Rattus norvegicus: one gene and its partner. Each later gene encodes a partner of the first gene's protein in a complex. Links are inferred from orthologs where the notes say so. Each region holds a gene or a part of one and is shown on either strand. Other genes may lie near its edges.

The links.
Region 2: the proteins of Bmpr2 (region 1) and Inhbb are in contact, whole or in part, in a crystal structure (PDB 7U5O), measured with the Homo sapiens proteins. The link is inferred for Rattus norvegicus from reciprocal best matches to the Homo sapiens genes BMPR2 and INHBB. Residues at the interface, in NP_001195.2 of Homo sapiens: Tyr40, Tyr67, Leu69, Val80, Lys81, Trp85, Ser86, His87, Ile88, Gly89, Asp90, Gln92, Ile108, Gln109, Tyr113, Phe115; in NP_002184.2 of Homo sapiens: Phe309, Asn318, Asp319, Ile322, Ala323, Pro324, Gly326, Tyr327, Tyr328, Thr379, Met380, Ser381, Met382, Leu383, Phe385, Asp386, Asn390, Ile391, Val392, Lys393, Asp395, Ile400.

What each region holds. Positions count from the first base shown.
Region 1 is NC_086027.1:68,735,106-68,738,911, reverse strand, and holds part of Bmpr2 (bone morphogenetic protein receptor type-2 precursor), read right to left. Parts: intron 2,053-3,806; coding exon 1,882-2,052; intron 292-1,881; coding exon 121-291; intron 1-120. UniProt on the Homo sapiens protein: On ligand binding, forms a receptor complex consisting of two type II and two type I transmembrane serine/threonine kinases.
Region 2 is NC_086031.1:33,086,393-33,090,698, forward strand, and holds the start of Inhbb (inhibin beta B chain precursor), read right to left. Parts: upstream 2,982-4,306; coding exon 2,522-2,981; intron 1-2,521. UniProt on the Homo sapiens protein: Inhibins and activins inhibit and activate, respectively, the secretion of follitropin by the pituitary gland.

The DNA of each region.
Region 1 (3,806 bases):
CTGGTATATTACTTTGGAGATTTTAGGTAAATTTTTACTAACCTTGAATGTTTATCCGTTATGTTTTCAAAACTTCTAGAACAAGGAATTATTAAAAAAAAAATTCCTGTTAATACTTACTGAGTGGTGTTGTATCAGGAGGTGGGAAGTTCTCAGTGAAGTTGACGTTACATAAGTCTGTACTACAGCAGCAAAAACGGTATGTTCCATTCTGAATTGAGGGTGGGGTGGTAGTTACTACACATTCTTCATAGTGGCACTCTTGGGGATCACCAATGTGAGACCAGCACCCTACAGATCAATATTAAAGCAAGTTAGGAAACAGTACAGTAAGGAAAACAACAGATTATGAAGTAACTGTAGCAGCCATATAAAACTAAGTAGTACAGTCATAAAGAAACTGAGTGAAAATGGTAAAGGGTTCCACAGACATCTCACGGGGAAGGCAGCCAACAAAGCGATTACCATTAGCTGCGCCATTACTATGAGAACTATTGAAGAAAGAGCACTTAGATTTAAATCGTCTCAATTAAAAAATTAATGGAATCGTAACAAAGATTCAGTGACAGTCACTCTCTTACAATTCTGTAATCAGTTTGTGTGTTAATTTTGGAAAAATATAGCAATTTTAATGTAAAGCCTTTAAAATAACCATATATTTTTATGATCTATTAATTCTACATTAAAGAATCTACTTTTAAAAAAATGAGAAAGGGGCTGGGGAGTTAGCTCAGTGGTAGAGCGCTTACCTAGGAAGCGCAAGGCCCTGGGTTCGGTCCCCAGCTCCGAAAAAAAGAACCAAAAAAAAAAAAAAAAAACAAAAGAGAGAAAAAAAAGCAATCAGACACAACTTTTATATATGTTTGAAGGTTTCCATTGCTGGATATGCATTTCAGTGAAAACCTTAAAACAGCATAGTGTTCAAAGCGTTTATGTAAACCGTAATACATATACACAGTGAAATATAGTGCTGAGGTACACATGTCTTCAGAGGGCATTTACAATAACATGGGGGAAAAGAGGTTGGAATAATATAACATTATTCTAATTTTAAAAGAAGACTGGGACTCATATAAATATTAAAATACATGAAAAATGTACCCAAGGGGGGGGAATCAACACAAAACTTTTTTTTTTTTTTTTAAGAAAAGTGAGTTGTAGACCTTGGTTTTTCTAAATAGTTTTTTGGGTTTTTATACAAACTTCATTCACAAACATTAACTTGTAAAGAGAAAGACATTATTAAAACACACTAAAAGGCTAGGCACAGTGGAGCATGACTTTAGTCTCAGCACTTGGGAAGCAGAAGAAGGCAGATCTCTGTGAACTCCAGGCCTGCCGGGCTACACAGTGAGACCCTATTTCAGCCAAGCAAGCAAATGAGCAAACTAACTACATACACTAAAAGTAAACTTCCTTTTATGAATTTGGAGCTTGTGGGTGAATTATAGATATATTTATGTGTTTATCTTATTTACTGGATAGGATTTCAATCCACCTACATGTCCTTTCTAGATAAGTTCCAACTGTATGAAAACAATGCTAAAGATATAGCCCTGCGCCAGGGAGCTTGCCTATGTGCAATGGTCTGTGTTTGATTCTCAGCACCCAAAAGAAAAAAAGCACAAAAGCACAAAGCAATTAAGTAAAAAAAAAAAAAAAAAAAAAAAGGTGTTACTTGGGGACTGGAGAGATGGCTCAGCTGTTAGAAGCACTCACTGCTCTTCCAGAGGGCCCAGGTTCAAATCCCAGCATCCATATGGCAGCTCACAAGTGTCTGTAACTCCCAAGATCTGACTCTCACACAGAGATACATACAAGCAAAACACCGATGCACATAAAATAAAAAGGTAAATAATTTTTTAAAAAAATATTACTTGCCTTGTTTCACAAGATTGATGTCCCCTTTTGATTTCTCCCACAGACCATAACATGTGCTCCCTTTGGAGCATAATATTGTCCCATTTTCATGAGAGATTCGACTCTCACCAATCCCAAGGTCTTGTTGATACGGGTCTTTAAATGCACACAGCCGTTCTTGATTCTGGGAAGCTGAAAAACAGAGCAAAGAACACAATGATAAATTGATGTTTCTTTGATAATACTACTGATTAAAATAATCTTTAAGATTTCATTTAATAATATATGATAATCTAATTTAAGTAAGATTATAAATTTTCCTGCTAAATTCTTCAAATTTAATTGTTGAATAAATTTTAAATTTTACATTTACCCAAAAATTTTCTGTTTCAAGATTTATGTTCATTTTTTTAAGCGTGTGTGTGCATATGAGTTCAGGTGCCCACAGAGGCGTTGGATGCTCCTGTAGCAGGAGTTAAGGTGACTGTGAGCTGCCTGGCATGGTTGCTGTGAACTGAACTTGGGTCCTCTAGAAGAGCAGTACACTTGCATTTAACTACTGAACCATCCTTTTATCCACACCCTCCAGCAATTCCCTTTGGACATTAATTTTTATATCCAAGCAATAAGAATTTAAAGAAAGTATATTCCCTGATGACAGACTTTTACACATATAATTCTTATCATTCTTTCTATTATTAAATATGTTTTGCTGTTCAAAAAAAGAAATACCATCTTCTGCAAGGGCATGGTGGTATATACCTTCAATTCCAGCAGAAGGACAGGGAAGGAGGCAGAGGCTGGTGGATAGCTGTTAAGTTCCAGGCCAACCTGGTCTACATAGTGACTTCCAGAAGAGCAAACGAGAGAGAGAGAGACAGAGAGAGAGAGAGACAGAGAGACAGAGAGACAGAGAGACAGAGAGACAGAGAAATACCATGTTCTAAACTAACCTTTAAAACCAACACAGAGGAGGCCAGGCATGATATTGGATGCCTTTAATCCAACACTTGGGAGGCAGAGGCAAGCAGATCTCTAAGTTACAAACCAACTTGGTCTACATAGCTAGTTCCCGGCCAGTCAGGCTATATAGAGAGACCGTGCCTTAAAAAGTGAACAGTCAAAAACAAAAATCCGGGCTAGAAAGATGGTTCAGTGGTTAAGAGCACTGACTGCTCTTCCAGAGGTCCTGAGTTCAAATCCCAGCAACCACATGGTGGCTCACAATGAGATCTGATGCCCTCTTCTGGTGTGTCTGAAGACAGCTACAGTATGTGTGTATGAGTGTAACATATATATAATAAATCTTAAAAAAGGAAAAGAAAAATCCTAAAAGCCCAAGAATTCTGAGCAAAAAGAAAATGATTTTATTTTGCTTAAAACAGCCGGACAAAATGTACAGCAGCTCTTCAAGGAGTAAGGTAGTTGTTCCTTAGTTTAATGCCGACCTGTGTTTCTTCATCTATACTACGTGATTTAGCTGACTCCAATAAAGCATTTGTCACGTGACTCACTGATTAACAAACACTAACCAGCACTGTGAAAGTACCAAGGAGGTAAAAGGTTATCAAAAGCACCATCTGATCTTTATTTAGGTTTTTTAAAATAGATTTTTCTAATATGTCTGAGTAGGAAAGATAATCACTAAACATAATCAATACTTTCTTATGACCTTCTGAATCAGTTCTTTATTTGACGTGTATAGAATTGGAATAGTATGATTCAGGAACACTTTACAATACATATTATTTATTAAATTAATGTTTCTGGACATAATTGAAGCACAGAAAAGGAATGACAGGCTTAATGACTCTGTCCACCCAGTTTACATAAATAGACCTGCTACATTTATTGCTATGTGAAGCACTTTCAAAGTACGAGGTCAAGTAAGCGGAATGTTTACAAGTAGGTATATAGTATTGCGGTTATCAAATTTTCATAATATA
Region 2 (4,306 bases), on another chromosome or scaffold:
AATGGGGAATGGACTCTGCTGCGTGGTGTTGGAATGAACATGCACCACAGCTGGAAACTGTTACTGACCAGAAATACCATTCCTGGGACCCCAGCTTCTGCCATAACCTGTCAGGGGCAGAAGAAACACTTCCCATTGACAGAACAGGACTAGGGTGAAGCCAGGAGGTCCGGACCATAAAAAATCCTTGCCTCACCTCTCCCAGGCTATCAGATTGTCAGGCCTCAAAGCTCAACTTGTCAGGAGGCCAAAATCTTAACAAGTTGTTATGGGTTCTCTGAAAACAAAACTAAGATCCCAGGGAGGATTTGGGATTTGGGAGGGTAGGTTTAAATAGGGTTTCTTCTCCATCTCCTTCTCCTTCTCCTTCTCCTTCTCCTTCTCCTTCTCCTTCTCCTTCTCCTTCTCCTTCTCCTTCTCCTTCTCCTTCTCCTCCTCCTTCTCCTCCTCCTTCTTCTTCGTCCTGGTTAACTTGCGGCATTGCAAAATCAAGCTGAACCATCTACAGCCTCTTTTCCAGTGTTTGCCTAAACATGATCTGACCCAAGCCTCAGTGGGACCTCCACTGCAAACAAGCAAGCTCTGTTTGAGTTTTTGACGTACAAGTGTTCACCCTGCAAGCTGCAAAGGGCAGCCCCTGTTTCCTAGGCGTCCCAAGGGACAGGACAGGGAGTCTTGAAAACTCAAGGTCTGATCCTCTGGCCAGACCCTGACTCCCAGAAGGCAGCAGTTTGAGATCTCTAAGGTTGTGGGTTATTAGTCATCACAATAATTCAGCCCAGCCTGAAGAATAGTTCTGCCAGAACTGATGTCCCTTTCTGGAAGAACATTCCATCAACCCTTCCCTCTGATGGCCTCTACATATTCAGCAGACATGACTGGTACTATCAAACCTCACACCAAGCACCCCCCACCGCTCCCAGCCCCTTCCTCAGTCCTCACTGGCTCCTTTAATAACGCTGACATCTGACTTTGAAAAGGGGGAAACTGCAGCCTTAAAAGCTGGTCTTGGCCGAGCTGCCTGTGACCTGAATCTGTTATTTATAAGTTAAAGAGCTGGCTCCGTGAATCGGACCAGAAATATAACAGCCCCCGCTGTCATTTTGTGCCACCGGGACCAAAAGGCCTCTCGACCTTCCCGAGTCACGTTTCCCTTCTGGGCCCCAATGCACCTTTTAATCCAAGCCCTCTAATTGCATGTGGAGTTTTCCCTGACTCTGGCGGACAGCTAAAATGGCAATGTATTTCTTTCTAAGGACAAACCGGCCTTGATTGTCTCTGCCTTTCTCCACACCCGGCCATGCAAAACTTTTCATCCCTTTTTATCCCCCGGCAGCAGCACAGGCAGGGTCTGCCTGATGCCTGAGAGAGTAGGGGGCATTTGCAGCCAGGAGCATAGCTGATCCCCCCCCCTCTTCCCAGGCTCCCTGCTTGTCCCCCACCCTGACTACATCGGGCTTCCCCCTCTGCGACCTTCTCTGCAGTCCCCTCTGCACAAATGGGGCTGAGCTCCCAGCACAAAAGCCAGACTAGCTCATTCAAGTCCTGAAAAGGACAGCGATGTCTAAAGTACTTACACCGTTTCTGCCCGGGAAATTTTCCTCCTTTTTAAACTTCCCAAAGATTTTTTTCTTTTCTTTTTCTCTGAATTTTATATTTAGATAGTGGACAGAAATTTGCAACATGGGGCCTGGGAGGACGTTGCAGAAAGGAATACCACTCTTTGTTAACTACAAACTCTGCCTCTCTTTCCCGAACCAGAGAGGGCTGCGGCTGCTGCCAGGCAAGCCTAAAGGCATGAGGCTGTTCCTGAGCCGCGTCTTTACGTAAATGATGGACCTGTTGAGAAGCTGCCTTCCGCCGACTCTGGTGCCCACACAATCGGAAGGGAGGTTGCCTAGCTCTCCCCACCGATGCTTCAGCAATTCTGGCAAGTTCATGCCGCCGGGCGATGCAAGGGGCCCCGGGGGCCTCTCACGCAAGCTGGCTGGCTCTGGCTGGCGCTCTCTCTCTCTCTCTCTCTCTCTCTCTCTCTCTCTCTCTCTCTCTCTCTCTCTCTCTCCTTCCCTCTCCTCTCCTCCTCTCCTCCTCTCCTGCCCACGTATATCAACAAGCACACACATCTCCATCTCTACACTGCTAAGCCTACACTCCGATCGTGGGAAACAAAAACATTAAGCAATCACTAAGCAAGTGCCCGCAGAGCCAGGGCTGCGCGCATCTGCCGGGAGGGGGACGCGCGCCCAGAGGCGCTGGGGCCCAATTCCCGTGAGCCAGGATGAAGGGCAGGGTACTTTCCAGTTGCTGCAGGGAAAGGGAAGCCGCAAAGGATCTGTAGTCTGGACGCGCGACATAGGAAAGGACCGCCACCATGAGACGCGCGCAAGGCCACCGCAGAACCGAGCCTTAATGCCCTCGGGGCGTGCGGGCTGCAGAGGCGGCGAAGGCAGCAGGAGCTTCCTAGGAGAGGGAAAACGGGAGGGATCACAGCCGCCTCTGGCTTCCCGGTGGCCGAACCCACCTGTCTCTGCAAAGCTGATGATCTCAGAGACGCGCTCCTGGCCGTCGGCGCCCGGGCTAGCGTGGCCGTCGAGGTGCGGGATCTCCACGCGGCCGTCCTCGCGCACCTTGCCGGCGTGCAGCTTGCGCAGGGCCGTGACCATGGCGGCCTTGGGGACAGCGTGCGTGATGTTGGGCCGGCCCCGCAACTGCAGGCGGCTCAAGATGTGTCTCTTCACCGCCTCCAGGAAGTCACCGTCCACCCGGCCCAGCTCCTCGGGCCGCCGGAAGCCGCCGCCGCCGCCGCCGCACGACGTACAGGTGTCCTGCGAGCCGCCCGGAGCTCCGGGTGGCGGGGGCGGGGGCGGCGCAGCGGGCGACGGCGGGGGTGTGGGAGAGCCCCAGGCCTCGGGTCCCAACCAGCCGGCCGCCAGAAGCAGAAGGCAGGCGGCCCCCAACGCCCGACCGGGCAGCCCGTCCATGGTGCGCCGCTGGCGACGAGGGCGCCCGCCGCGAGGCGAGGCGAAGCGAGCTCAGGGCCGGGCTCCGGGCTCCGGGCGCACCGCCCCGCCCCGCCCCCGCCCGGGCCTCCGCCCGCCCGCCTGCCGGGAGCGCCGCCGCCGGCTCGCAGGGGGAGGGGGCCGGCCGGGCCGCGGGGGTTCCCGCGCGGCCGAGAAGGGGCGCCGCGGGGACCAGAGGGGAACGCGGGTTGGCGGCGGGGGGGGGGGGGACCGCCGGGTCAGTGGCGCGCGGGCGTCTCGGGGCGCCTAGGCATCTGCAGCCTGCCCATCCTCTCCGCGTCGAGGGCCACCGCAGTCCCCCGATCGGGGTGAAGCGAAAGCGAGGAGCGGCGGCAGCGGCGCTGGCACGATGGCTTGGCTTGGCCGGGCTGCCAAGGTGGAGGGAAGAGGCAGCAGCGGACGCAAGTCGCTCTGGAGACTGAAGCGAAGGTGCCGGAGCCCCCCGGGCGCGGCGCTGCGGAGGGCGCTGCGGCTGGGGCCCCACGACCGCACCTGAGCGCCTCGCCCTGTCGCTGCTCACAGCGAGGACACGGCCGCCCGAGGCGGCGGCAGTGATGGGCAGGTCGTTCTCCCTTGCTCCCGGCCGGCGGGAGGAGAGCGCGGTGCGGGGGAGCGCCGCCGCGCGGGCCCCTCTCACTGGCGGCGCCGAGACCTCCTGGGCGGCTGGCCCTGCAGTCCTCCGAGCGCGTCACCCGGCAAAGTTGTCTCTGGGCTCCCCCGGGCGCCGCATCCACGGGCGGGCGGGCCGCGGCGCGCTTCTCCGGGGCCTCCGCTCCTCCCTGCTTCCCTGCGCCCGGCTGCCTGCGCGGGCCGGCCGGAGCGGCGGAGGAGGGAAAGGCGGTGGCAGGGCCCTTCTCGCCGCTGTCTCTTCTGCCTGCTGCGGCAGTGGCGGCCAAAAGTCTCTCTGTGTCCCCGGGATCGAGTGCCCTGGCTCGTACTCCCACTGGCACACGCCGCAGGGCCGGGGAGAGAGCGGGCGGTGGCGGTGGCAGCAGCGTCCCCGCGCCCAGCCGTGGCTCTGAGTGCAGAGCGCGCCCGAGGAGTTCTTCGCTTTGCCTTCTCTTCCTTTCCACTCCCTGTTCTTTTTTTCCCGAGGGGTAAAAAAGCCGCACAATCTCCGTATGTGCGCGCGCGTTGAGATAGACGTTGGCAGGAAAAAAAGGGGGGAGGGGGGAGTGTCGTCCGGGCCGTGCGGGAGGAGACGGTCCGCGCCTCCCCGCTCGGGCTTCCCGGGGGCGGAGGGGGAGGCGGATTCTGCAGGTCGCTGCTGCCTGATCCTCCTCCCA